Linked DNA regions of Lepisosteus oculatus. The main gene of each other region encodes a partner of the protein of the gene in region 4 in a complex. Links are inferred from orthologs where the notes say so. Each region holds a gene or a part of one and is shown on either strand. Other genes may lie near its edges.

Region 1 (7,985 bases), on a different chromosome or scaffold from region 4:
TACTGGGAGCTGTGACTCAGTGGGATGTCCAGTCCAGTCTAAACTGTGTTCACCGGTGGCGCTGCTGCGTGCCGGACCACTGTCTGTGTTGGTGGAGCGGGAGAAAATTTCCCAAGGTCCAGAGCTGAGCGCACGTCTCTTATTTGTGGGGAATAAGTCATGACACCTTGAGGGAGCTTGTCTGGTCCACTCCAGACCTGTGTGGCAGGAAGGGGTGACCGAGCTGACCCCCCAGACCCCCTCACTCAGGGCTGCTCCTGCCCCCTCTGCCTCAGGGCGCTCAGCTCCGAGCTCCGAGCCCCGTCGATCAGCTCCAGCTCACGGATTTTCTGTGGAAGAGAGGAAACGGGATTTCACAGAGTGTCACGGTGTTCATGATGTCGCCCCTGATGATGCCATCAGCTCTGTTACCCGAGTGATGCAATGCTGATGACATCACTACATGTTCTCCAACTGCACTGATGACCCTTGTGATCTGATGCTGGTGATGTCATCGGTGTGTTGCAACGATCCGTGCACGATGACACGGTGCGATGATGTCAGCAGCACGGCGTCACCTCTGTTACCTGGGAGATCTCCGTGCTGATGATGGTCTGGTACTCCTTCCCTCTTCCCAGCGCAGTCATCTCCTCCAGGAACTGCCGTCTCTCCTCGATCTCGTCCAGCACTGAGACGGGACGAAGACGCGGAGGGTCAGACTCTCGGCAGCGGTGATTCTTGAAACACTGAATCGAACTTTTACAAATCAGAAGTGCTCCAGCGTGGGACAGTCTTGCACATGTGATCAGGGTGATGAAAAAGGGAAGACCCTATATGGGTATTAGTGACTTTTTCATATTTTGCATCCATGTTTTGGTTGGCTGGGACTGCTACACATCATCACTGCCTGGTCTGGCAGATCCCTTTATGGAAAGCAGAGGTTAGGCAAGCGATGGAGAGGTCTAGCAAACCATGCAAACTGCTGGCTCGGGCCAGTCGGTGCTCCTCCTCACCCTCCTGGAAGCGATCCCTCCCCGGGGTAGCTTCTGTCCCGGCAGCGGCCGGCAGGGGGGGCGGCGGACCGGGCTCCTCGCGCCCCGTGGCCAGCAGGCTCTGCAGACGCCTCTTCTCCTTCTCCGGGTCTCCTGGGAGTTCAAGAGGAGGAGAGAGAGGGCACGGCTGAGCTCTGAGCTCTGCGCTCTGCTGCGCTGCAGGGCACAGCCCAGCCAGGAGAGGCCCCAGGCCTGCCCTGTGTGCCGCTGCGCTGGACAGCTGGACCGCTGGACCGTTGGACCCGGTTCTGGTGCTGTAGCTCGCGGGGTGCGGCCAACTCACGTGTGGGTCTGGGGCGGAACCTCTCCCTCTGGTAGCTGTCCCCGGCCTGACACTGTTCGGCGCTGCGCCGCTGGGGCTTGAAGGCGGGGCTCGGGCCTGCCCTTGGCTGGGGTCTGGGAGCTGCGGCTGGGGCTCTGGGTACTTCGCTGGAGGTGGGGTGACAGCGCGGCGGGAGGGCGCCCCCTTCTGGCAGAGGAAAGCAACACCAGCAATGGTGCATGAAAACCGTGCTGAACCACAGCGTGGAAGACGAGTAGATGTCACTGCAGGTCTGCACGGGCATGAAACTGAAGCCCCCTACCCGAGACCTTGAGACCCAACCCGACCGAGCCCGAATGGTACTGCCTAATTTGAAGCCCGAACCTGACCAGAACCCGAAATCGATCACTGTCTTTTCCTCTCGGGGCGAGCAGACACACGTGCGCACACGGAGACGGATTCTCACAAACACAGTTCTGCAATGCGAGCGTGCAAAATAGGTTATGAATCTCTTCCAATAAAAATACATTTTATGACATAAAATAATAATAATTCATTTTCACTTATTAGAAAACAGACCCAAGCCCCTCATTGCGCAGAGGCGAGTGCGGCGTGAACACCAGCTCTGCCCACCCGCGGGGTCGGACAGGGGTCACCAGAGAGGAACCGCAGGACCCCGTTCAGGAGTCGTGTTTAAAAACAACCACCCCCCCCCCCCGTGACTCAGGGTGGGTGTGATTTGGAAAAGGTAATGAGCTCAGGCGAGACGAGGAGCGCAGATCCTGGCACGCCTGTGGGAGGGTATGCCAGGGCGTGTCTGGCGAGTCGCGCGATCGGGACAGTCCCCGCCGGCGGCGGGTTCCAGGACTCACTCTGCAGCCTCTCGCCGATCTGTCTCTCCTGGAAGCGGGTCAGCCGGGATTCCTGCATCATCACTGCAACAGGACACAAGTCAGGCTGTCAGGCCCCCCGACCCGGGGTCACACGCACACCCAGACACCATCAGATCACGCTACCTTCCTCTCCACGACGGCGGAACCGTCCCAGACTCTCTGGGCTCCACTATGCTATAGTCCAAGCCTGCACTGCAGGAGGCTGGAGGAAACCAGAGACCTACAGCACCACGTTGAGAACTCACGCCAACCCGTGGAGGAACATGCAGACTCCACGCAGACAGGCGGCAAGCTGGGATCTTGTCCTGCCGTCTGCAGCTGTGACGCAGCACCGACGCCCCGCCCCCCCTCAAGCACTGAATGGGCAAACGCACACGCCGGGGGACACACACTCGGACCCACATTCGGGACACTCGCCTCTCAGGAGCTCCTGGGTCTCCTGGCTGTACTGGGGCACACGGGGGCAGTTCCACAGGCCGCCCCCGGCTCCTGGGAGCTGAGCTCTGTCTCTGGAGGACATCAGACGCAGGGTCCTGCACACAGGAGCACACAGGGGTTAAGACAACACAACCATTTCCTTTATCCTATTCAGGGCCCTGGGGAAGCCAGAACCTATCCCAGCAAGCTCCGGGCGCAAGGCAGGATACACCCAGGATGGGACGCCAGTCCATCGCAGAGCGCACACACTCACACCTGGGCCAGTTCTGCTGGTACCCAGTTAATCGACCAGCATTTTTCTGGACTGTGGGAGGAAACCAGAGCACCCGGAGGAAACCCACACAAACACGGGGAGAACATGCAGACTCCACACAGACAGCACTCGGGGTCGGGGATCGAACCCGGGGCCCCAGCGCTGGAAAGCAGCAATGCTACCTGCTGCGTCAAGGTGCCGCCCTTAACTTGCTGTGCGCAGCACAAACTTTCAACATGCAGCAGAGTTCAGGACGAGCTTGCGTGCCGAGAAAGAGCTGACTGTTGGGAAACGAGTCAGGTGAAGGGAGCAGTGAGCAGTCCAAGAACACAGGAACAATACCGGGCCTCGTGCCCAAGCCTCTGGAGCAACAAGATCTCTCTGTGGCTAAAACTGGGGGACAGGTAAAGTATAATAGCTGGAAAAGGTGTCTGTTCTGCAGCGAACGAGCTATAAAGCTGTCAGGACTGGAGGCAGGCTGCCGAGTCATCACTGTCCCAGTGAAAGCGCCTGGGGGTGAAGGCAGAAAGCTGCCTCTCCAGAGGCTGCAGGGAACAGCCCTTTCTCTGTCCTGTTCCCGTCTCCCCAGGCTTGTTTCTTACCACTGCACTGCACACTGCTCCTGTACCCCCAGACTCCCTGTACCCCCTGCACACTGCACCTGTACCCCCAGACTCCCTGTACCCCCTGGCCACTGCTCCTGTACCCCCAGACTCCCTGTACCCCCTGCCCACTGCTCCTGTACCCCCAGACTCCCTGTACCCCTGTCCACTGCTCCTGTAGCCCCAGACTCCCTGTACCTCCTGCCCACTGCTCCTGTACCCCCAGACTCCCTGTACCCCCTGTCCACTGCTCCTGTACCCCCAGACTCCCTGTACCCCTGTCCTGAAGTTTATGACCTCACTCCCCTCCCTCTCCTGTACTTACTGGATTGTCCCAGATGGGAAATTTGCTTTGCAGGCAAGTAAGACAATTTAACACAAACCCATTAACAAATAAGAGACATTCATGTACAATGAGAAAAAACACAAATATATGAGGTAAAATGTACATCCAATTGTCCCCATTGAGCCGGATCATAGCCGTGGGAATAAAAGATGTTCTACTGAATCTGGGCGGTCTAAACTGAAGTCATCTCTAACTTTATTTCTCATTTTACCCCCGTGACTGTTTCTGGTACTTTCACTTAACATTCATTTCGTGTAGAGCGTCACTCCGGAGAAGAACATTATAATTACAGTAACCACCCTCTGTTGTGAGACATTTGCAAATTGAATACTTATGAACTACGTTCACTCACGCAATTCTGGTCTATTAACTGTGTATTCATAAATATCGCCCCATGGTTTGAATTGCAATAGCTACACTGCCTCTCCTATAGCTACAGTGATGCTGTGCAGGACGGGAGAACGGCCGCAAGCTGCACCAAGCGTTACCCTGAAAATCATCCCCGACACGAGCTTATGAACCGCTGATATGAACTGCAGAAAGACAGACATCTCACCCGGTATCGTCTCCAGTCCGCACACAGCCTGGCAGCGCGACTTCCGGCCAGGACGCCGAGCCCTGCTGCCATGGCAACGGCGGGGCCTTGACGTCACGCCATGACCCCTCCCCGCCGCCACCCGAAACAGGTTGTTAAAGAAAATTGTTCCTGCAAAGTAACCGAGTTCCACAGACTTCTCTTCTAAGGCATTTATATGTTATTTCGTCTGCTGTCGCCTATTGTTATATGTTTTCTCTTAATGTTTATAAATAAAGCTTTCAGTAATGGGAACCTAGTGGGTATTAATAGGTCATATGGTATGAAATCAGTTATTTTCTTTAATCGCTTTGAAAATATTTTCACATGCTGTTTGGTAAAAGGCTGTTATTAGGTACGTTTTACTTCGAAAAGTGGCATTTATTATGCTAAAAGTTTCATATTGTTATGTTAAAGTAACAAATGTCATTTTTTAACTGTGTTATATATTTGTACTACTGTGTCAGCAGTTATAATGCCCTATTCTGAACAAACTCTCAAGAAAATTCCGCAATCAATAGAAGAAATCCGGGTCATTAACAGAAAACTGACAGTACAGCAACTGTGCTGTTTGACCCGGAAGTTGTCTTGCCTGGGGCGGAAGTGAAAGGAGGACGGCGTGGTGCTGAGGAGGAGGCGGGTTGTTTGTGCCGAGTGTGTTTAGTCGTTTTTCGGCTGCTTAAAATACTGCTGCAAGTTTTCCTCTGAATTCCTCACGCTTGCGGGTGAGAGATGTCTGACAACGAGGACAAGTAAGCGAATCCCCGTGTTTCTGAAAGGTTTCATTCGGGGGTGTTTACCGTCCGTGTAGCTCGCAGTTTCCGCGAATCCCGAGATCAGTGCGTATGTGAGTGAGATGGACGACAGATTTTGAACCACATCAGCTGGATTATTAAATATTTATTCTGATAGCTGGTTCTCCCCTGGCCGCCTTCTCCGTGGCGTTAAGAGGCTGCAGGTTTTCTCTCTCGGGCTTCATCGATCTTACCTGCGGTCCGACGAGACGATGCCGGACGGGTCCTGAGCCCCGAACTCGCCCTGTTGATTCTGACGTTCCCAGCCGGATGACCCACAAACCCCTTCTCCTCAGCCCCTGAGGACAGCCCCCCCGGCGGCTTGCGCCCGTCTGCAGCGGGGCGACCTGACCCTCCTCTTCCTCCCTGTCTTTCAGCTTCGACGACGGAGATTTCGACGATGTCGAGGAGGATGAAGGGCTGGACGATTTGGAGAACCCGGAGGATGTGAGTGTTTCTCACCTGGGCCTTGTCTTGGGACCCTGTTTCTCTGGCAGCGGGGCGCTGTGACGTGAACCCCACCTCTCTCTCTGTGACCTGACCCCCTCTCTCTCTATAATGTGAACCCCGCTCTCTCTCTGTGGTGTGAACCCCTCTGTCTCTCCCTGTCCGCAGGAGGATCAGGAGAACGTGCAGATCCTGCCAGCAGGGGAGGGCCAGCAGGCCAACCAGAAGCGCATCACCACCCCCTACATGACCAAGTACGAGAGGGCCAGGGTGCTGGGCACCCGGGCGCTGCAGATCGCGTGAGTGGCCACCCGTCTCCTGTCTGCAGCTCCCCTGGTCCAGACCCGTCTCCCCGTCCCGGGTCGGTCTGCACGTCTCCCCGTTGGGCTGGACAGAGCGTTGCTTGACTCTGAGTGTGACCAGTTCGGCTGACTCAGTCTTGGCCAGCTGGACATACACGAGGATGGCCGGCGCTGCGTTGGGGTTATAAAGGCGCCCTGGAAAATAAGAGGGTTCTAGAGCATGGCGGCGCTGGGGGTCCACAGAGGGACCCGTACGCCACATGACCTCAGTTCTACGCCTCCCTGAGCCGCGCCCTGACTCCCTGCGTCCCTGGAGAACTTTGTTCCTGCAGGAAAGGACTCCCGTGCGGAGTTCTTGATCTGTTGCTTCTGCCTTGAGCTGATCTGGAGAGAGAGACCGACAGCGGGGTGGTTCTCGAAACTGGCCCCCCCTCCCGGTCTCGCTCCTGTGGGTGTCGCTGCGGCTCCAGGGTGGAGAGCGCGCGGCAGTCTCCTTTCACAAAGAGGGGCGGGAGGGTGGAGCAGGAATCCAGTCCGTCGCACCGTCCCGTGTTCTCCAGGCAGTGTCGTTCTCACGCCTTCCCTCCCTCCCCTCTCTCTCGGCAGGATGTGTGCCCCCGTGATGGTGGAGCTGGAAGGAGAGACGGACCCTCTCCAGATCGCCATGAAGGAGCTGAAGTGAGTGCTGGGGGGAGGGGGAGGAGGAGCAACAGGTGTTTCTACTCTGTGCCCACCAGGGTGGGTGGAAGGAACGCAGCACTCGAGAGCAGGTCGTTTTCCCCACCCAGCAGGTTAGGCTGCTCATAACGAATAGTTGGTAGGGATCTCACCCAGCTGTTTCTTGAACAGCCCTGGAGGGGGAGATGTCTTCAACGGGGCCTGGAAACGAGTTCCAGACACCCAACACTCTTGGCGTAGAAAGGAAGTCTGGAACCGCGCTTCCTTGCTGTGTGCGGCGTAGGCTCAGTAAGCCCGTCTGTGTGCTCCCTGGGAGATGGTGGAGGCCTGTGGGCCCACGGCGTGATGTAAAAGCACCGGAGTCCGGACTCTCGGCTTCCCGGCTCCGTGACCTGTCTCTCCGTGTGTGAAATTCCCAGGGGGTTTCTGTGGCTGGCGGGTATTCCAGAGTCGTGCGTCTCCATGGCAGCGGACGGCGGCAGGGGCCCCTCCCGCCTCCTGTCTCCGCGCCCGAGTGCCAGGCGTTCCCGGAGCGGCGCAGGGGAATTCCGCAGCTATGTGGGGATTTTTCAGGATTCGCGGTCTGCCTGCAGTCGCCGTCTGGCCTGGCCGCCGGAGCCCGGCACCCGCTCTCCGGGTGATGGGGCCGGGAATGTCGGGGCGCCTCCGGGATGGCCGGAGATCGGGAGCCTTGCTTCCTTGCGCCTCGTCCCCTCCTCTGTCCTGAGTGAGAGGAGGGCGGGGGAGAAACCGGCGAGCTGTTTTTGGGGTTCCCTTCGCAGTGGCTGGGGTTCGGGTCTGGGGCCCCAGTAAAATCCCCCCACTGTGTGAAGAGCGAGAAAACGTAAACGGGGCGCAGGATGGGTCGCTGGCTCCGAGGGGGGTGAAGGGGGGAGGCTTGGGGGTCGCGTGGCCTCGGGTTCGAAGGAGAGGGGGTGTGTGCCCGCGCCTCACGGCTCTCGGTCCGTCTCCGTGCCCCCACAGGAGCCGGAAGATCCCCATCATCATCCGGCGCTACCTCCCGGACGGCAGCTACGAGGACTGGGGCTGCGACGAGCTCATCATCACGGACTGAGGGGCGCCGGCCCCCGAGCGGAGCCGGGCCGGGCCCCGCGTTCCTGACCCCTCCTCCCGCCTCCTCCAGTTCCCCTCCCGCTCCTCCTCCTGGCTCGCGGAGTTCCCCCCGAAGAGGAACGGCAGCTGGCGGCGGGAAAGGCCGGGAATTTGATCCCAGTTCCTGGAAGCCACAGACCCTCCTCTTCGGGACAGACAGCCGGGCTGACTGGCTGACCGGTCAGTACCGTCACCTCGTCCGGCGGGATCGGAGGACAGGACAACGTCTTCCTGACGGGCCGAGCAGGGAGC
Region 2 (7,454 bases), on a different chromosome or scaffold from region 4:
ACAGGGACAGAGGAAGGAGGCACAGCAGAGGAGGGACAGAGGAAGGAGGCACAGCAGAGGAGGGACAGAGGAAGGAGGCACAGCAGGACAGGGACAGAGGAAGGAGGCACAGCAGGACAGGGACAGAGGAAGGAGGCACAGCAGAGGAGGGACAGAGGAAGGAGGCACAGCAGAGGAGGGACAGAGGAAGGAGGCACAGCAGAGGAGGGACAGAGGAAGGAGGCACAGCAGGACAGGGACAGAGGAAGGAGGCACAGCAGAGGAGGGAGAGAGGAAGGAGGAACAGCAGGACAGGGACAGAGGAAGGAGGCACAGCAGAGGAGGGAGAGAGGAAGGAGGAACAGCAGGACAGGGACATTAAGTTCCAGACTGCCCCCTCCATTTCACCCTCTCCTGTCCCCCAGGGCTGTTCCCCCTCCTTCTCACCCTCCCCTGGGCTGCTGTCACTGTCCTCGCTGCTCATCTCCAGCTCGTCTTCCAGGTCATGGATGCGCAGGTCCCCTCCTTTCCCTGGTTTCTTTTTCTTCTTCCCTCCCTTCTCCCTGTCCTCCTCCTCCTCCCCGTCCTCGCCCTCCTGCTCCTTCAGGCGGCGCTGCAGCATGATGCTGAAGTGATTGACCACCTTGTTCCTCCTGACAGACAGACAGAGGGACAGACAGACATGATGCTGCAGTGACTGAACACCTTGTTCCTCCTGACAGACAGGGGGACAGGGGGACAGTCAGACATGATGCTGCAGAGACTGAGCACCTTGTCACGCGCGCACTCCAGCCCGCTCTCACGCGCGCGCACTCCAGCCCGCTCTCACGCGCGCGCACTCCAGCCCGCTCTCACGCACACACATGCGATCGCATTCACAACAGCGCCCTGCCGCCCGTACCGGCTCCACTCTTCCTCAGCCTCCTCCGCAGTGAGCGTCCTGTGCTTGGCCACGGGAGTGAAGTTGTACCAGCCCTGCACAGGAAAGGCCTCGAAGGCGCCGTCAGGGCACTGCGTGAAGATGTAGTAGGAGGCGTTTTCTGTCACCCCGCCCTTCTTCTGCCCCTTGAACCTGCAGGAACACACCATACGCCCTGACACCCTCCAGGATCCAGGGCTGATCTGCTCTGTCCCCCGGGCTCCTCCCCCTCTCTCTCCCCCTTCCCCAATCTCCTCCCCCTCTCCTTCCCCTTCCCCAATCTCCCCCCCTCTCTCTCCCCCTTCCCCCAGTCTCCTCCCCTTTCTTCTACCTCCCTTTCCCAGGCTCCTCCCCCTCTGTCCCAGACCCACCTTTTATTCCACCTCCCTTTCCCAGGCTCCTCCCCCTCTCTCTTCCCTTTCTGCCATCCCCACCTTCCCCAATCCCCTCCCCCTCCCATTCCACCTCCCTCAGTCTCCTCCCCTTTCTTCTAATCCTCTGCCCAAGGCTCCACCCCAGGCTGTTCCCACACCTCCCCCAGGCTGTTCTCACCTGCGGCCTGCCTTTCCGTTCACCCTCAGGATCCAGGGCTGGTCCTCCAGCCTGAACTCGCGGGTCACGATGCCGAACTTCTTCCTGCGCGCCTCCTCCCTCTGCTTCCTGCCGTACTCACTGCCCGCCCCTGACTCCGGGCCCTCCTCCTCAGTGTACATCTTCCTGTTACTGACGTCACGCTCCATGCGCGCCTGCGGAGAGACCGCCACACCTTTGCCACCTTCTTCATCGACCCTCACACATGGTGCCTCCTCTTCTTCACTGAGCCTCACACACTCCTGCCTCCTCTTCCTCACTGAGCCTCACACACTCCTGCCTCCTCTTCCTCACTGAGCCTGATTGAGGGTTCCTCACTGAGCCTCACACACTGCTGCCTCCTCTTCCTCACTGAGCCTCACACACTGCTGCCTCCTCTTCCTCACTGAGCCTTACCTGAGTCCAGGTGGAGACATTGACCTTGTCTCCTGCATTGAAGGCCATGATGTTGTACTTCTTATTGGTGTTTCTAGGGCAAAAGAGAGTCACAGGGTTAATCACAGCACTCTGAGTACTGTATGACCCAGAGCGGTCCAGTCCGATACAGGACAGCGCCAGGTGTACTGTATGACCTAGAGCAGTCCAGTCCGATACTGGACAGCACCGGGAGTACTGTATGACCCATGTATGAAGCAGGACAATGCAGACACTCACTTGGGCACTCTGACGACATACTCCATGGCAGACGAAGAACTGCTCCCCTGAGAGAGAAGGTGAGATCAGAGTGAGGGAGATTACAGCACAAATCCGTGTCCACTTTCTGTTAAGCCTACAGACTGAAGCCCTTTGACTGAACGGAGACCGAGGTACAGAGAGACAGAGGGACAGGGGAGAGAAACGAGAGGCGCAGACACGGACAGAACAGACACCACACCGCCTCTCTCTCGGTCCTCACCAGGGACGTCATGTTTGCGAAAAGCCGGGGTCACCACAGCGGTACAGACGAAGATACAGAGAGAAGGCTCTTCAGCTCCACGCGTGTCGCACTGCAGGGTTACAGAGCCACGCTGTGTGGGGCTCAGAGTGCGAGCAGAGGACACTGAACTTCAGACACCCTGAAAATAGAGGTTCACACCGTGCTCACGGCTCACACACGGTGTTGCGAGGATTTTATTACTACTTGTAGTAATACTAGTTCTTATCTCAACACTGTTTAGCCTCGGTATCACACAATGTTCATTTTTCAAGCCAGTGGTTGTTTTTATTGTACGTGTACTTGCATTAAGGCATAAATCAAACGAATACAACAGCATTTACGCTACCCGTCTTAATAAACCGTATACGGCTTCCTTATATCTTTGGAACTTTAACAGTCACAGAGGAGAATAATACCTCTCTTTGTCTCACGAATTAATTTCAGATTTCAACTGTGAAAACCACTAACTTATAACTAGAAGGCAGTTATGATACAGCAAACAGCGCACTCACCAAAACACTGGTCCGCCGGTTTAATGTGTCCGTCTGGTCCAAGGGGACGAAAGCCGAATAGTTCCACGAGCGATTTCGCAATATCTCTTTTTTTTTCAAGTTAGAAATCACTAGCTTAAACAAATAGATTATATGATTTACATGGTAATTATCGATGTGCCTGGTATTTACCTTCACCTATCATTAATGTATTTAGACCATTCACATTCACTTCGTTCCCACGCAAAGGAAGTGACGTCGAACAATTTTCGAGAGGAGCTAACGTGAGTATTGCATAGTAATTTGTTTACGTCTGTCGTTACTTATTATTTTACTGAAATATAGATGTATATGTTTGTATTTTGAACATATTATTAATTACGTCACTGCTGTGTATCGCTTCCGAGCGTCTTTTGAAACCTTTCTTTGTTTATATAATGTAAATATACTTGTTTTTTTTGTGATGTAACAACATTAATAACACAATCTCCACAGGCCAAAAGGAGTTACAGTTCTCTGGTAGTTTCTTCTCATAGTTTTGTGTTTCACAACGCCGTGTTCTGTTCACGCGGTTTTGGGCTTTCGGGTTGTGTTTTATTATAGGTGTGTCGGGGTGCTTGTAGTGATAGGGGTCTGTTTTATTCTAGCTGTGTCGGGGTGTTGGGGTGCTTGTAGTGACGCGGTGCTGTAGTGACCGGGGTGTGTTCTATTCCACAGGTGCCGGGGGGGGGTGTTCTTTTCCAGAGGTTTCGGGGTGTCGGGGTGCTGTAGTGACCGGAGTGTGTTCTATTCCAGAGGTGTTGGGGTGCTGTAGTGACCGGGGTGTGTGCTATTCCTGAGGTGTCCTGTGTTCTGAGTGTGAAACGCTGTCCTCAGTGTCAGTGGCCCCAGACTCAAGATGGTGAGAACTGATCACTAGCTCCTCTGATCTTTCTTCATTGTTCCTTTTCCCTCACTCTCTGTCCTTCTCTGTCTCCCGTCTCCTCTCTCCCTGTGCTCTGAGCTGTGGCCATTCTGTCCCCCTCTCCTGTACCTGTGAGGTCTCTGCCTGTCTGCAGTCTTCCCTCTGAGTCTGTCTCACGTTTCTCAGTCCTCTTATGCTTTGTGTTCATTTGTGGGTTTTTTTCTTTCAGGGGGAGCGGAAAGGAGTGAACAAATATTATCCCCCTGACTTCGACCCTGCCAAGGTGAGAGAGTGAGACAAGGGCGAGAGGCAAGCTTGGTGTGTCTGTCTGTGTGACGCAGAGTTCATATCCATTCTGAGTCATGCTTTGTAGGCATGACAGGTCAATAGCAATGTGGTCCAGGCATAACAACAAATAAATACACAGGCATTTCCCTGACTACTCCTGATTTTACTGATCCGTCCAATTTCTACCCGCTTCATTTAATTCAGGATGCCTGTCCCAACAAGCAGTGGGCACAAGGTGGCATACACTCTGGACAGGACACCAGTCCATCACAGGGCACACAGACACACACACTCACAACAGGGCCAATTTTCCCAGAACCCAATTAACTTACTAGTAAGTTTTTGGACTGTGGGAGGAAATTGGGGCACCCAGAGGAAAGCCAAGCGATTATGAGTAGAACATACAAACTCCACGCAGATAGCACCCCTGGTCCAGAATTGAACCCAGGGCCCCAGCACTGCGAGGCAGAAGTGCTAACCATTTTGCAGTCATGCCACCCTTGTAGGTATACTTGCAACTAGAAATTCGTGATTTAAGCAAAAAGAGGGCCTCTAATTGGGGAAAAAAGTTCAGTTTGCGTATGTCTGTCTTCCAGCATGGGTCACTCAATGGCTACAGGAACAGCCACCCTCTGCGGGAGAGGGCCAGGAAACTGTCCCAGGGCATCCTCATCATCCGGTGAGTCACTGCAGTGCACACAGGGTAACGTGCATTGAGAATCACACACTGTGGACTATAGCAAGCTGTAGTGTACAATACTGTTTCTGTACCAGCTTGAATACTATAGACTAATCTCTGCGTGGCTCCCGTGGGTGAGATGGTCCCAGTGACACCTGTCTGTCTGCAGGTTTGAGATGCCCTACAACATCTGGTGTGATGGCTGCAAGAACCACATTGGCATGGGTATGAGCCTGTACCCCTCACCCTTTTCCTCCCCGTGTCAGCCTTCTTTCCTCTGCCGTTGTGTGATTGGGTTGCGAGCGAGCACTCCTGTGCTCAGCGGAGTGTGTGCGTGCGAGCGAACGTGCAAACGTGCGAGCGCGCGAGCACTCCTGTGCTCAGTGGAGAGTGTGCGTGCGAGCATGCTCAGTGCTTCTCATCTTTTCTGTGCTGCAGGGGTACGATACAATGCTGAGAAGAAGAAGGTGGGGAACTATTACACCACCCCTATCTACAGGTATGAACTTGAACCTGAACATTATTGCCATATGTAACCGGTACTGGTACAATGGAATTGTATGGATAGCGTGTGCACTCCTCCGGTGTGTGTGAGAGGTTCAGGATGAAGAGGAAGATGTGTGTGAGAGATAGACAATTTCAGGATGAAGCTCTCTCTGTGTCTCAGGTTCAGGATGAAGTGTCACCTGTGTGTGAACTATATCGAGATGCAGACGGACCCAGCCAGCTGCGATTACGTCATTGTCAGCGGGGCTTGCCGCAAGGAGGAGCGCTGGGACCCTGCAGACAACGAGCAGATTCTGGTGACCGGTATGGCACCCCCTTCCCCCTGCCCCTCTCCTGGCTCACCCCTCACTCCGCTGCTGGGCTGGGCTGTGTCATTCTCCCGCTGTGTCTCCCCATGTCTCAGAGCGCAGCGACAAGGAGAAGCTGGAGACGGACGCCATGTTCCGGCTGGAGCACGGCGGGAAGGACCGGGAGAAGCTGCGTGCCGCAATCCCAACCCTCTCCCAGATCCAGGAGCACCAGGAGGCCTGGAGGGACGACTTCCAGGTCAACAGCGCCCTCCGCAGGAAGTTCCGGGTAGGTGGCAGTGGTGTGTCAACGAGGTGGAGGACATGCTGACTGGAAGGAGCGCCCTCTCCAGCCTGGTCAGGGGATCCCCGCTCTGGAGACGGAGCCTGCTGAGCCGGGCCTGGCCAGGACACGGATGCCCCTGCTGCCGCCCGCATTCCCCAGAGCCCGCAGCTGGAGAGTTAAGGAGACCAGCGTGGTGGGATTGTGCTGTACTTGAGCACTTTCTCGCCCATCCAAGCTAAATTATCACTCCATCCACCCATCCAAATTATCCCAGTCCAGCGCAGAGACACCAGGGGCAGCCCAGAGACCCCGGTCCAGCGCAGACACACCAGGGGCAGCCCAGAGCCCCCAGTCCAGCGCAGACACACCAGGGGCAGCCCAGAGCCCCCAGTCCAGCGCAGACACACCAGGGGCAGCCCAGAGACCCTGGTCCAGCGCAGACACACCAGGGGCAGTTAAGAGAAAACCCCCACAGACACAGGGAGAAACTCCACACAGAGGACAACCTAGACCAGATTGGACCAAGTTGTGCAGACCATCATACCACTGTGCCAGCTACATTTTTATTACCCATCAAGATTATTGTAATTTACTTTTACTGTCTTGTAAAAACAGTACTTTTAGCGTGATAATTTAGCGTGATAATTGTAGGTTCACAGAGGAAAAGCCCCTCGTTTAATTGAGTTGCTACCCATTATGAAACTGACCGAATGGCAGAGGTATTCTGCCACTTCTAGACATAGTGGACAGAGCTCCAGCTGTCCAGCAGGGGTGGTGTTTCCCCTCTTCTCCTTTTAAAGTTCCAGACTGCTGGGAGCTTGGCCTTGGAGTTTACAGGTGGAGAATAATCTGGTCTCTCCATTTCTCCCTGTCCCTGTCAGTCTCGCACACTGTGAACAGTCTGTCCCTCTCTCTCTGTCAGGAGGAGAAGAAAGCGCAGGCTGAGGAGGAGGAGAAGGACTCTGCTTTTCGGAACAAAGCCAGTCTGTCCATCCCTCTTGTCCCTGAGTCTGAGGGCGACAGGAAACTGGCCTCCCTGCTTGCCTTCCAGAGCCTTGACTGTGAGTGACAGTACTGTATTGCCCCACACCCCACAGCCCCGCGCAACACAGAGGCACACTGCTTCGCACAGCACTGTACAGCACCACACCCCACAGCCCCGCGCAACACAGAGGCACACAGCCCCGCGCAGCCCCGCGCAGCACTGTACAGCACCACAGCCCATAACGTGCAGCCCCGCACAACACTGTACAGCACCACACCCCACAGCTCCACGCAACACAGAGGCACACAGCCCCGCGCAGCCCCGCGCAGCACTGTACAGCACCACAGCCCATAACGTGCAGCCCCGCACAACACTGTACAGCACCACACCCCACAGCCCTGGGCAGCACAGGGGCGCACCGCACTGTACATGTACAGCACCACACCCCACAGCCCTGGGCAGCACAGGGGCGCACCGCACTGTACATGTACAGCACCACACCCCACAGCCCTGGGCAGCACAGGGGCGCACCGCACTGTACATGTACAGCACCACACCCCACAGCCCTGGGCAGCACAGGGGCGCACCGCACTGTACATGTACAGCACCACACCCCACAGCC
Region 3 (6,989 bases), on a different chromosome or scaffold from region 4:
GTTTAAGATTTAAAATGCATTTAAAATGACTTAGACAGAAAAATGTGCAATTGCAGATGTGCAGAGTGTTACATGTAGACAGCAAATCCTACATATATAAATAAACGAAGGGCTGTAACGTTAAAATTGTACAATGTGGTAGCAAGACCTCACTGCCAATAGGGTACAATTGTAGTCATCCATCTACAAAACAAAACTGCTGCTCTAGAATCAGTCCAGCAAAGTGCAGCCAGATATTTTCTTAGGCCCAGAAGAATGTTTTACACAGCAACAGGATTAAAGAACTGAATCTGTTCAAACTTAAACAACTCGGATTTGGGTTGATCCAGATATTCAAAATGGTCAAAGGCATCGATAAAGCCGGCACACAGTGGTGTTTTACACAAAGGGATGCGGGGGGCTGAAACGGGCCGTCCAGCCATGTTCTCAAAGCTGACACCCTGCCTTCTGTCAAGAAAGGGCTAGATAAAATCCTAGGCTTAATTAGCTACTAAAAAACAAAATTAGGCCTAGATGGGCCAAATTGACTCCTCTTCGCTCACAGCCTCCTCGTAGCATGAAAACTCTCGCTCTTTGAGATGTGTGTGTAGATACAGTTTAAAAGAGTGCGACTAAAAAAATATTTTCCTCTCACTTTAAGCTTTCAAATTGTTATCCTAGACCTTGCCATGCCAACTAAATAAACACTGTGATTTAACTGCGAAGTGCGCGTTTTACGCTTTTTGCAAAGGGCTGCGTTTCATCCAATTCATGCAATTAACATTAGAATTAAAAAAAAAGGCATTTTCACAGAGCCACTACGTGACTTCGCAATGTTAATTTCCCAAACGTTAGGTTTCGCACATATTGAAAATACGGGACAGCAATACGTCGAGTAAATGGTAAAATTACGGACAACTTTACAGTAAGGCGATACGTCAAAACGACAGCTGATGGTGCGAAATAACATTTCGGCAACCATTGTAATGTGCCAACAACACTTAAGTTGCAATCACACTGTTCCAAATTAAACCGTAACTGCTCTTAACGATTCACTACGATTGCAGTCTTTATTTCTCCGAAACGATTCACATAGATCCAGCAATCATCGTATCGTTTAGCAAATGGACTGGTTCACAAGTTGACTTACAAAATCAGCAATCCCTGTTTTGACATTCTGGCAATGTAACTAAATTACAGTGAAGCTCACAGACCACGAATTTCTTCTATTTAGTTCTCCTCCACGTTCCAGCATTTATATCGAAATTGGCTCTCGCATATTTCACATTGAAGTGAATTAAATCTAAAACAGGGAGTAAAAGGTAGTCAATGTAGTCCTTTTTATTACCTGGGGATCTGTGGTACCACTTCCTCATTCACAGGACCGGCTGGGTCAGCCTGGGCCCCGCTGATAGGCGAGTCCGCAGACGCCGAGGGCTCAGGAGTCCCGTGTTAACCTCCACTCGAGTCCGAGGCTGAAGCGCCTCCCCTCCTTTTTGGAACAGGCCGCGCTTCCTCCTATTTACTTGTTACTGTAAGAACCGTGATGAAACCGTTTTTTTTTCCCACCGAGGAAGATAGCCTTCTAAATTGTTAGCGCTGCAACGACATTACGAGCTTTTTATTCCATTAACGGTCACCTTAACTTTTCTTTTAATTGATTTCTTAAATGCTCACAACATAGCACGTTCTTGAGCAAATTCGCCGCCAGGTAACAGCAACACAAGAGTTTGAAGAATTTGCAGCACAAATCTTGTGATGTCAGAGGTAGTTTGTGTTCCGAGTTGGATTTCGTCATTGAAATTATGTGGGGTTCAGGAAAATACGTTTTGTCAAAATGGCACCTGTATTAGGAAAATGTATTAGTTGTATTTACAGTTGTACGTTCTTTTCGCGTAATTTACTGTATATTGTTTAATTATAAGACTAGATTTTGGTACCGTGTGTATTATTTTACACTATAGGATGTTAATTCAATATACGATCTCAGAATATGAAACGCAAACTAAATCTACAGCTAATAAGCCTCAATTATTCTACACTCTTAGGAAAGTTACGAATTCATCACATTCTACAAAACCAGTGGTACTCACAAAATAATTTACCCACCGCGATTTTAAGATGTATTAACATTGTAGTTTCAATGGTGCAGAATTTTTTTCCATAAGAGATCACATCAATAGGAAAAAATAATCTGTGAACCATATTATACTTAAAATACTTCGCACTACTTAAAATAATAGTAATTATTACCTGTATGTATAGAGAGATGTCATGTCGAGGTATTGATGGAATGAAATTGCAAGGTTATAAATCATCACTGGCAATCCACTGAAGCTCAGCAGGTGTGAGCCTGGCCAGTACCTGGATGGGAGACTTCCTGGGAAAAACTAAGGTTGCTGCTGGAAGAGGTGTTAGTGGGACCAAGGGAGCACTTACCTTGTGGTCTGTGTGGTCCTGATGCCCTTGTGTAGTGACTGGGAAGCTATACTGTCAAAAGGTGCCATCCGTCAATTTAGACATAAAACTGTCATTAAAAAGTCATTAAAAGTGTCAGAGCTCTTCTCAGAAAAAAAAAGTAGGGGTGTAATCCCAGCATCCTAATCAAATTCTCGCTATGTATACATATATAATTGCAGACCTGGGTACCTAACTCAAGTCTCAGTGGAGGAATGAAAAACCCAATTCGCTGGATCATACACACCCAGAGCAGGTTTTAAACCCTGACGCCTACCCTTTGGATAAGTACCAAGAGGCCCGGACCTTAGTTTAATGCTTCATTCAGTGGTACACAGTGTCCCAAGTCACTATTCTGGGGGCATTGGTTTGGAAATTCTGGTCCAGAGGGAAGAGCACCACCTACTGGTCCACCAACATCACTGTAGGGGCAAGATGGTCTTACCCAACAGACCTCGGCTCTGAGATCAGGCTACAAGGCAGGTGACGCATCTGCTGCTCAATAGTTGTAATAACTGCACATCTTCCTTTTTGCCAGGTCAAATTTCTGCCTGTTTTAAAACGATATTATTCGGAATGATTTGAAATTAATGTCCGGTTTTTACCATTTTAGTTCTGAATGCAACAGTAGAAAAAGAACATCACGTCCTAGAATGAAGGAAAGACCCCAGAAATGTCCTCCTTTAAAGCATTGCCTTGTACTGTAGCAGAGAATATATACTAACATGGTCTAATGCTACTCTGCCCTTTAATGCTTATGAACATAGAAATGCAGTATTACTTAGACGCCATTAAAAACCTGAAAATAACTAGGCAAAAAGCAAAACGGATGTGTTTTAACTTCTGATTGTAATTACTTTGGGCAGTGTATAAGTTGTTGTTGTTGTTGTTGTTGTTGTTGTTGTTGTTGTTGTTGTTTTTTGTTCACATCTTTTTTCGGATGCACATTTCTCCTTTGTATTATTTCATGTTCAATAAGTAAGTTTGACGAAAAAAACTTACTGTCGCAGCGGGGGGAAAAAACTGCAGTTCCTACATTTCTGGTTAGTGTCTAGGTCCGCTGATTTCCGAAATGAAAGAACAAGTTTGTAATTTTACCAGAAAACCTTGCATCATCAAAAATCTATAATATCTGCCCATGCAGAATTGAGACGATCATCGGCTGTCTACTTTAATACCGATGGCTGAAAACACGCCATTTTGGCGTATGGCTGACGTTAATGTATCGGAATAAGAACAGCAATTAGGTATTCCTTAGTAACAGTAATGCCTTAAAATGTGCTGTCGCTTTAACAATAATATGTATATTACTGTATGCATGCCCCAGTTATTAATTGACAGTAGCAAAAAAACTTAATACTTGGGATGATGCAATAAAACTTAATAATAGTATAAACACTAATTCCAGCACCTCAAATACCACAATGTTGACAAGAACCACTAGAAGGTTTCCTTTTTTAAAAAACAGTTTCAAATCAGTTTTCAAACCCATATGTGACCTACAGTCATTTCCCGGATTTGCTTGGGACTTGAACTAACCGAGCATGCGCAATTCATTTAACAAATATGGCAGCCTCCGTTGTCGGATGTGTTGTGTGGCGTCTGTAAGAAATCGGCAGCAAAAGTCTTCAAGAATTTAAATGAAGAAAGCCGAGTCGTCGTAATTAATTCATTGTAGTTGTGTAAGTCTAACATTATGGTGAAGAAGGACAAGGGAGGTCGAGGTGAGTTGTTGTCATTCAAGGTGCTATCTCTTCTGGTTACCATTGTTATTGGTAGTACAATAAACTCCCTCGGATCTGGTAATGACGCATAGCAATGACCTGTAGCAATCGGGGGAAAAATACTGTTAACAAGGCATAAAAAATAAACTAGTTTGCTTCATGCACGCACGCGATGTTTTGCCTACCTACAGTAGGACCAGGACAGTCGTTGGTCTTCATTCTCCCTTAAGTGAACGTTTCCCCGGTGCAATCCGTACTGTTTTACGAGTGAGCCAAGTTGATCGACATCTATCTTTTCTCATATCCGACCCCCAGACGAAGGTTTTGGTGAAGGAGCTTTATGGCGAGTTTGCGGTCGGATCCGAGTACGTCTGATTTTGATCAAAACGAAGGGAGTCTTTCGTGAAGCCTGAGATCTCCCGTGACAGATGAGAGGAGGCTTACCTTCCATCGGGTTAAGTTGGAGGACGTGGATTAGGTGCTTCACGAATAGTTTGCCCTGCTACCTCAGGGGCTGTGCTGCGGGAGAAGGCGAGAGACTTTCCTGAAAAGCTGAAGATGCCGGCTGAATGCAGTTTCTCTTCGGGATGGCTGTCTAGGTTTGAGATGTGCCCGGCGGACAGACGTTTGCCGATATCAATGCTGCCGAAGGTTTTTGCTCTGTTTTTAAGAAACCCGTGGACGAGCATGACCTAACCCCTGACCGCAATGACAGTGCAGGTGAGACAGGGCTCGGCAGCCAGAATCCTGACCAGGTCGTGTGCAAGTGATCACATTACTCCTGTCCTGGAGTACCCGCACTGGCATCCAGTCAGGTTTCATTTCAAATTCAGAATGCATGGCTTGGCACCTCAATACCTGTCTGACTTACTGTGTTCCTACCCCCACCTTGCAAACCTTCTTTTGTCTAATTCTGGTCTCCTATCTGTCCCCCAAGCCCGTCTACACTCTGTGGGTGACACGACCTTCTCCTGTTATGCCCCAGAGCTCTGGAACTCTACCCTAAGGATATCAGAGGGTCACTTTCCTTGAAATCTTTCAAACCTAGACTCAAAACCTTCTTTAGGAGGGCTTTCATTTAACCCATTCCATTATGTTACGTGCCTCAATTTTGAATTTTTGAATTTTTTTAATTCCAATTTTTCAGTTTTTTTTAATTCTACCCGAGAAGTCCTTGTACCCAGAACCCTTCTCCACATTTTGTCCTGATACAGTTCACTGTAATTAATAATTGCTTAAAGTTATATAGCGCTTTAATCTGGACACTCCACTCAAAGCGCTTTACAGGTAATGGGGACTCCCCTCCACCACCACCAATGTGCAGTATCCACCTGGATGATGCGACGGCAGCCATAGTGCGCCAGAACATTCACTACACATCAGCTATTAGTGGGGAGGAGAACAGAGTGATGAAGCCAATTCATAGATGGAGATTATTAGGAGGCCATGATTGGTAAGGGCCAAGGGGAAATTTGGCCAGGACGCCGAGGTTACACCCCTACTCTTTTCGAGAAACGCCCTGGGATTTTTAATGACCACAGTGAGTCAGGTCCTCAGTTTTACGTCTCATCCGAAGGATGAACTTAACTATACCCGAATCTAAACTGTTGATACAAATCTGCAAGAGCAATAATCCTAAAACATATTCCTACTTAAACTACTTTAATGTGCCCATTTACATGTTACAGCACTAAGGGAACTTGTGGTTTGTTATTATCTTTTTAATTTAGCTTTTAGTTCAAATGGTTCTTTGTTCTTTCTCTTTCTCTTTTTTTATTTCTCTTTTATTGTTCTTTGTTTATGACAACTTTCCTAATTTCTGTTTTATATATTTTCAAGCATAAAATTGACAAATATGTTGCTTTACTGTATGACTGTGTTTTCCTTTACAACTGAAAGTATGTCTCTGAATTTGAAGATTTTATTTTTGCGCTGGGTTTGTAAAGCACTTTGAGCTGCTATTTGTATGAAAGGTGCTCTATAAATAAAGTTTGTTATTATAAGTACTGTAATGCTGCACCCACCTGGTTGATAAGTGTCAGACAGCATTCTCCCTACACATCAGATTAATTCAGGAATTAGCCACGGCACCAGGATTAATACCCCTACTTTTGCCATGGGAATTTTAACAGTCAGATGTTAGTCAAGACCATAATTTTAGGTCTTACCCAAATGACTGCAGCTATCTACAGGACAGTGTCCGTTGTCAAATACTATAGTTGAAAGTTCTGGTCCAGAGCAAATAGTGCTACATGCTGGGCCACAGCACCACTTCAAGCAGCAACCAAGTTTTCCTTAACGATCTTAATGACCATGTCTAGACTTGCATTGCTTCTGAGATCTGTTGAGATCAAGTTACGAGATGGTTTCAACCTCATATGGATGTCATATTTTTGAACAAGTTGTTACCTATATTGATATGTTTCTGATGAATTACTGTCAGCACTGATGAAGATTATCATCTGGTGTCCGGTTAGTAAAATAATAACAGTAGCTAGAAAGCTTCAAGACTTCCAGGAGAGTCCCAGTGTCATGAAATGCTGAAGTGAAGTATTGTAGGATTAACAGGGTTGTGAACAGTAGCTGTTTGCAGTTCAGGCCTCGTATTAATAGGCCAAACATTTGTTGTGTAGGGCCAGGTTGTGTTGCAGGCCCCGTTTTGCTAAGAACAAATGTCCAGTAAGTACCGCTTACTGGACAACCTGAATTTTCAGACAAGCTGATGTAGAGGAGTTTATTGACATATGTACATTGAAATTCTTATTCGTGCTGAGTTCTCAGGACGTGCACAGTACAATAGACAACGCCTTAGAATGTAGACAATACATT
Region 4 (7,119 bases):
TTATAATCCAACCCCGAGTTCAAACACCACTGCAGTAATATTGCCACAGCTCCACTACAAGCTATTTCACTAAACCCTAAAATTAATTCCAGTGTTATGCTGTAGTCAATTAAATCTACATTTAATCACAATCCTAACCCATTGGAGGTCACCACAGAAGAAAAGCAAAATAGATTCTGGGGTGCATTCTCTTGATCTGCTTCAGCACACTATTGGGTTTATTATCGAGGGGCACCAAGAAAGCTTCAAGCTCAACCCATGCTCATTTACACTAAATTGGTCAAGGATCACCATGTCTGTGAAAGATGAAACATGATTCACAAAACTGCAACATGCCAGAATCAAAACTGTTCAAACAGGACAAATGCCCCAGAAACACTCAAGCTGAAGTGAAATTTTACACAGTTACCAGATAAATGCAAATCCCATCTGGACGTACGTGTTGCTAAACTGCAATATTATCAATAAAATGGAAAAAACAGAGAGGATATAAAATGTCATCCTGCAACACTGACACCCAGTGGCACACAGAACACCTCCAGCACTAAAGCGATTCTTACATAATGGCAGTTATCACTTTTTTAATTAGACGTCATGCTTACCTCTGCTTTTCCCTGATTCCTTTTTAAAAAAAGAAGAAAAATGTGTTAACAAGTTCTATTAATGTACATTAAAGTACTTCTTTATGAAGAAATACAAATGGTTTGTCTGTGAAAGTTAATATGCACCCTGCTGACCACCTATTAATAATAACATCACTTTATTAACCCTTTACAATTTCTTGCATTAGGAATTATCTTTTCACATACCCCAGCTTGCTCTCCATGAGACACACAGACACACAGATAGGGAGAGAGTCTGCCATTGTACAGCGCCCCTGGAGCAGTTGGGGTTAAGGGCCTTGCTCAGGAGCCCAACGGAGTAGGATTCCTCTGCCGGCTCGGGATTTGAACCGGCAATCTTCTAGCCACAGGCGCAGATCCTTAGCCACAGAGGCACTGCTCCGCCCCAAGTATAATACTGTAATCATTAGAATGACTGTATATATGATGTCTGGATAATATCTGGATCTACTCCACACTCCAACTCTTTTGGCAGGGACTCATGCATGCAATGTGTCATGAACAAGTGTTGAATGGATAAAATGATCCTATCATTTCTAACATTGCGTAACTCCAAAAAAAAAAAAAGATGGGTGTTACTTTGATGAAGTTACAAAATATCAGGGCTGCCCAGTCTTTCCTAGAGGGTCAGATTGTCTGTAGAGACTGGCATGATTGGAGTACTACAGCTTTAAAACAAACTAGAAAACGTACAGACACAGTGACCTTCCAGAACCAGGACTGAACAGGCCTGCAGTATATCCAACCAAAACAGTCATAACTATTTTCTAAACCATAGAACATAAAAACAGAAGCCTACCACTGCATAAACCTCTAAAGATAAAGGTGGGATTTACATAGCTGCTTGCATTTGTATTGCAGTTTTCATCCCAAAGTGCTACACACATATCAAGCGAAACATCATCCACAGCTCCAGTGCAGCACCTGACTGGGCAACACATGGGGGCCATTTTGTGCCAGCAGCCCCTCTAAACAGCAGAGAAGTGAGGAAACACTAAGTGAACTTGAATTATGGGGAGAATGTTAAGGAGGCCAGCTTGAACAAGCCTAAAGTGAACTTTATCCAGAACACCAGAGTAACACCCCAACTCCAATGTGCCAAGGGGTGTCTCTGGGCTAGTCAGGAAGTCTCTAGCTGAGGGACAGCACATCTTATAGCGCAGTGTTGCCAGTCACTGTACTGGGACAATGGTTGGGAAATTTTGATTTGGTGGGGCAATAACACCACCGCCTGGTCGAGCAACAGCGCTTAAAGTAGCACCCAGGCCCAGCCTCGCTAAAGAGTAGCGTGAAGCTAGCAACATTGAGCAATGTGAATTAATTGGAAGTGTTTGTAAACAGCTGAATTTTCAATCAAAGTAAAAGTCCACACTGCTCTTGCTCGTGCAGAGATCTGGGCACAAGGAAGTCTAGTGCTTTAAGTGCCTTACAAAATTACTACATGGGTGAAACAGGTGCACTCACTTGCAAATTTTGAGCTTTCCCACTTCACCCCTGCCTGTTGCTTTGGCCCACTGCTGTGAAAGGTACTTTGGAACCTGTAAGGAAGAAGATTAGAAAATATCTCTATATCTTTTCTCTCTCAAGACAAACCTTTGGCCATTTAATTTAACATCTCTAACAAGAGACTGGGTCACACGCCCCATTACACACTACAATGAGTGGGTAGGCAGACCTTTTACTTCATTTTAGGTAAAACTTTCATTAAAGCATTTTTCCACGATTCCCATTAAGTGAACGACATCCATATACAGTCACTGATGTGATTAGATCATCTTTCTTGGCATAAAAACGAATCATTCATCAATTCTGGCGTGTACTTCGTTTTCATCACATTAAACTGCTTAGGGTCGATGTCTTTTTTCCCCCACAGCTAAGGAGGCCTGCTTACAGGGTAAAATATTGAGACTTTCTCCACCCCGCGATCTCTACCCACGCTGCACGAACAGAATACAATAACAGCTGAACTAATTTCCCAAAAGACAGGAGACACACTTTTAAATGATAAAACACACAGAAGGGAGTGGAAGAATGTGGATATTCTTATGAAATTAATGTAATTCAAATTTTTATGTCACATCTGAAGCACTGCACACGGCTTTATTACCAGGCTAACTACAATTTTCATTTCGTGTCTTTAAGGGATTTAACTTTTTGCGACCCGATGCCTGTATCAGTAGCCAACCAGACAAATAAAAAAACATTTTCAAACGTCTGGGTTCCCGAAAAGCTTACCTTTACCAACCAAACGCCAGTATTTTGTTTGGCTCCTGTTAAATCGACTTCTCCCTTCTCAGACATTATTATAGTGGTTGTTATTATTACTATTATATTATACAGTATTTGTCACACAAGCCACCATTCGGTTTTTGTTCGTGCACTACGTCTCAGAACACAAACACTAGTGCAACTGCGCACGCTAATACGGCGGCCCTAAGGGAACAAACTTCATGACTCACCATTACAAAACGCGGTTCACTACAGTGATTTCGGAAGAAGTTGATAACATCGTTCTCTTAACGGTTAAAGAACGTATTATATGTGTAAATAAAATTACGAAATCTGTTGGCTAAGTTTGGAACTTAATACAAATCTGGTGCAAGCTCATACTTAACTAAAGGGTACATACTAAGATTTAGTTACACTACCACATTTTACACCTGTTTTATTCAAAATCCTATTTTTTCTAATGTTAATCAAATTTATTTTTTAATTTTATATATATATTCAGAAAAGGAAAAATAGTTTCACAACACTGTTTTCCCTATATTGGTAAATAACTCCTTAACAAATGCAAAGCATTACATTTAAAATTCCAGACACAAACTACTTCAAAAACGGGTTTTCTAAACTGACTTAAGGTCATTTACAATTATTTTAAAAGCACAGCATACTTTCAAATAAATACTAAAGACACATTTTCAAAAACTTTTAATTAAAAAAACATGTAAAATGTGATGGACTGAAAAACTACATTCATTGTATTAATAGAAACTAGCAGAAATGCATTTCAAGGATAATTTCAAGATACAATACATTGTACACTTAAACATCTTAAAATAGCTATTTTGAAAGAATTACCCAGAAAAATAATCCACTTAAACATATTTACATTAAACACTAACAATGTTCTGTGATGCAATATTTATAGGTTTTTTTCTCCACAACAGGCAATACCTTATTTGAAAAACATTAGATTTTTTTCTCACAGTAATTGCTGTTTTGGTCTTTATGCATTAGGATTTAATGTAAGACCAAAATGGCCTGGTCACTGCAGAAGTTTGCCTTTTTTTTACACTGCAATCAGTGGTGTTCTTTCCAAACCTGTGATGAACTGCAGTGCGTCTTATCCCAACTGGATTCAGAATCTATCAGGCTGTGCTAGATTTCCTGACATGAAAATGTTAAGTGAAGAGGGAAGCAGAAAACCTTGTGCAAGGTTTCTTCCGTAACATTTGATTCGGAGTAGAAAATAAATATAAAGATGGTCCTCTTTGCATGATCCAGATCTGTTATGGCTTGTAAAACAGCTTCTCTTAGAAAATAAACTCTGAAAGTCAAATAACAATGTGCTACCCACAGATCTATAATGAATCAAGAACCTTGTAGAACTGGAATTAATCCTAAGAAATTGTATAGATCAGGAGTCCTCACTCTCCTAGTCCTGAAGAGGCACTGCTCATCCCTGCGGGCTTTATAAGGAACTTCCAAAACTCTTCATTGATTACAAAATTAACAGCTGTAATATTAACTGATTAAATCAATAGTGGATTAAATTAAATAATTAGGAGCTCTGGTAGACTGGAAAGCATGAAGAGCATGGCATGTGGCTCACCAAGATCAGAAGTTTGGATCACTGCTCTACACTAACAAATTCCAGATGACATTTCTGGACAAGCCTGAACACACATAAACATGTTTCGTGAATGGTCAAACGTAGATCTGGCAAAGAGAGATTTCAGTAAGATGATACAACTAAATCCGACATCATGTCCACAGGGCTGATATTTGATACTACCCGTCTTTAAAAATCTGTCTGAAAGTCATTATTCCCACCTACGGAACTCACAAAGACTTTCCCTAATAGATTCTCTCTCTTTTTGTTCAAACTACCTTCTTCAGAATTCAAATTTACAAACCCCCCTTACACACAAGAAACAAATCACACATGATTTTATATGGTATCTTCATGTAAAACTCTGCCCTCCAATTAATCGTCTGCAACATCCCTCTAACTCCTACTAATACTTCCATCCTAAAGGAAATAGAGCACACCAGTTCTGGTCGAGTCAGGCCTGCAGCCTGGAGCAGAGCAGACAGCTAGAGGAACATGGTGCCTTTGCTATGTGAGAACCGGGTGTTGAGTTCCTGAGACTTCTTGATTAGAGCCTTCTTCTGGGCCTGGTCAAAGCGATTCACTTGCAGGTCCTGGTCCCTGTCAAAAGGCCGTCTCTCCTGGGGCTTTGTGACTTCCTCCTCCGTCTTCCTCTTTAACTTCTTTGTGTGCATGTTGAGGAGAGACTCGGACCGCTTGGAATCCTGTGTTATTAGGGAAGAGGCGGTTGATTTTAATGCAGAGCTGCATCAGAACCTAGCTTCACAGATAATCCACAGAACGCATTTTACTTCATAAACATGCAGGGGAGGGGGGAGCACAATGATAGCGAGGTTTATTTTCTTCATTGAAACCACACATTTTACAGGGTTTTCTTGCTAACTAGTATGTACAGGATGGTATTCCCCCCTTTGTGACAATAACACACTTACTGTAACAAAGCCAGTGGATACTATAACAGAAAACATGACCATGTTCGATACGCGTCTCTTTTTCTGGATAAGACAAATCTGAAAAAATGAACATCTTTCCAACTGTGTATACTGTAAATAACTAGTTCCAAGGGCATACTTTAATAAGATCTAAGATGCAACAGAACTGTATCACCATAACCAACTGGCCTGTATTTGATAAGACAAGCCTATGGAGAGCATGTACTGTTTTACGTGGTGGAGAAAATGTATTGTCATTTCTACAAAGCCCTTTTAGCTGTTAGGTAAGCAGGATGTCTTCGGGTTGCTTTCTATAAAAAAACCTATCTGGTATTAAATATAACAGTGAAAAACTTACTCTGAATACAAAATCAAAAAAGATCTGGTAAATCAACTCTCTTAAGCTGCAATTATGATTTTTACTTTTTTTGGACAAGCTGATGATTTGCTATTAAGGTACTTACATTGTACTTGGACACCTTCTCCGCCATCTCCTGATCCCTCTCCGACAGCTGTGGGATCTCCTCCTTCTCCGGACTCCTTTTCCCTTCCAGGCGCTCCTATGGAAAAAATACCCCCAGAAAGGTAACAGATGAGAAGGAGAAGATACCACAAGGAGCCTTCCTCATTTTAAATGATAAACCCGAGAAAAAGAAATGATCACGACACACATGATGCGAATGTTCATTTTACAAAGGTGTTCAGTGATGTGACTCTGCAGTTTTGGTGGGGGTGGGCTGTATTGTTTTCAACAGGAAGTCGTGGTTCCAGTGGTGTTAACAGATCTCCGTCCATCCATTTTCTAATCCACTTGTCCAAGGTACATGCTGGTCAGAATACCAGTCATTCGCAGGGCAGACACAGTACCAGACAAACACACTCTCACAGACTGGGACAATTTTCCCAGAAACATGTCCTTAAATAGATTTATTAGCTACCAATATGCCTATGATTAGCTATTAATGCCAGATATGTCTTAAACTACAAATATTAAAAGACTGGAATGCTGTAACTGCATCGGCAATGAGTAATGAGTACGGAAAGGAGAATTTAGATTTCCTTTCAGCCGTCATGCAGTGAGCTGAGTGTAGGGAATATTCTGACAAAGGCTTTGTCATGGGGAAAGGACACCATGGGACCATAAGTTACAGGCCCTTTCAAAAATAGTCCATAAGAAGCAGAAAAGCAGTACCAATTACTTGTAATATTCATTTGATTTTCCACACCTCTCTATGTAAGAGCTCCCCAGATCAGTAATCTCTCGCTTGTTTATGCACAAGGCACGGTTACTTTAAATTGCTTTTACTCGTTTCCCTCTTGAGTGAAAGGAAACTCGTTAGCCCACCCTGGCTTTCCTCTCCTTGTCAGCTGGGGTGTCAGTCCACAGGGAGCGATCTTTACACTCCGGTCCCGATCTCTTCTTAAAGGTTCTGGGGCCGAGGCCAAAGTGCTGCAACTCAGGGGGGAGTTCGGTCATCCACGTTTCCCGAGCGAGCTCTTTTGGATCATCCTGAGGACAGAAACATATGCCATAAGGTTACTGTCAATTCAAATAATTACTATGACTGCAATGATCATTTTAAGTGGTTTATTATATTCGCATACTGCAGAAAGAAATAATGACCCATATTAAGTTACTTTTATAAGGAAAAAGACTTACATGTTTATGTACGCTATATACAACATTTGGTGGCAATTTAACGCAACCATCCCTAACTCTAGATGAAAA

What was found.
Region 1: general transcription factor IIF subunit 2 (region 4) and polr2f share a complex: the UniProt entries of both Homo sapiens proteins name them as parts of the TBP-based Pol II pre-initiation complex. The link is inferred for Lepisosteus oculatus from reciprocal best matches to the Homo sapiens genes GTF2F2 and POLR2F.
Region 2: general transcription factor IIF subunit 2 (region 4) and gtf2f1 share a complex: the UniProt entries of both Homo sapiens proteins name them as parts of the TBP-based Pol II pre-initiation complex. The link is inferred for Lepisosteus oculatus from reciprocal best matches to the Homo sapiens genes GTF2F2 and GTF2F1.
Region 3: general transcription factor IIF subunit 2 (region 4) and ercc3 share a complex: the UniProt entries of both Homo sapiens proteins name them as parts of the TBP-based Pol II pre-initiation complex. The link is inferred for Lepisosteus oculatus from reciprocal best matches to the Homo sapiens genes GTF2F2 and ERCC3.

Annotation. Positions count from the first base shown.
Region 1 is NC_090707.1:38,687,382-38,695,366, forward strand, and holds the start of polr2f (DNA-directed RNA polymerases I, II, and III subunit RPABC2), read left to right. Parts: upstream 1-4,985; 5' UTR 4,986-5,131; coding exon 5,132-5,151; intron 5,152-5,387; exon of another isoform or gene 5,388-5,445; intron 5,446-5,570; coding exon 5,571-5,640; intron 5,641-5,808; coding exon 5,809-5,939; intron 5,940-6,548; coding exon 6,549-6,620; intron 6,621-7,604; coding exon 7,605-7,695; 3' UTR 7,696-7,985. Other genes in the region: c12h22orf23 (UPF0193 protein EVG1), read right to left, coding at 246-329, 567-667, 993-1,124, 1,315-1,500, 2,166-2,228, 2,604-2,706. UniProt on the Homo sapiens protein: DNA-dependent RNA polymerase catalyzes the transcription of DNA into RNA using the four ribonucleoside triphosphates as substrates.
Region 2 is NC_090706.1:13,496,678-13,504,131, reverse strand, and holds the start of gtf2f1 (general transcription factor IIF subunit 1), read right to left. Parts: upstream 3,005-7,454; 5' UTR 2,918-3,004; intron 2,576-2,917; exon of another isoform or gene 2,545-2,575; 5' UTR 2,397-2,544; coding exon 2,385-2,396; intron 2,191-2,384; coding exon 2,144-2,190; intron 1,959-2,143; coding exon 1,886-1,958; intron 1,645-1,885; coding exon 1,451-1,644; intron 1,052-1,450; coding exon 881-1,051; intron 633-880; coding exon 427-632; intron 1-426. Other genes in the region: probable splicing factor YJU2B, read left to right, coding at 3,795-3,797, 4,030-4,083, 4,685-4,767, 4,937-4,992, 5,206-5,266, 5,435-5,577, 5,678-5,850, 6,770-6,908. UniProt on the Homo sapiens protein: TFIIF is a general transcription initiation factor that binds to RNA polymerase II and helps to recruit it to the initiation complex in collaboration with TFIIB. It promotes transcription elongation.
Region 3 is NC_090707.1:32,279,015-32,286,003, forward strand, and holds the start of ercc3 (general transcription and DNA repair factor IIH helicase/translocase subunit XPB), read left to right. Parts: upstream 1-3,982; 5' UTR 3,983-4,132; coding exon 4,133-4,160; intron 4,161-6,989. UniProt on the Homo sapiens protein: ATP-dependent 3'-5' DNA helicase/translocase. Binds dsDNA rather than ssDNA, unzipping it in a translocase rather than classical helicase activity. Component of the general transcription and DNA repair factor IIH (TFIIH) core complex.
Region 4 is NC_090710.1:16,201,813-16,208,931, forward strand, and holds the start of general transcription factor IIF subunit 2, read right to left. Parts: upstream 3,009-7,119; 5' UTR 2,925-3,008; coding exon 2,859-2,924; intron 2,162-2,858; coding exon 2,088-2,161; intron 622-2,087; coding exon 603-621; intron 1-602. Other genes in the region: gpalpp1 (GPALPP motifs-containing protein 1), read right to left, coding at 4,944-5,162, 5,855-5,950, 6,736-6,900. UniProt on the Homo sapiens protein: TFIIF is a general transcription initiation factor that binds to RNA polymerase II and helps to recruit it to the initiation complex in collaboration with TFIIB.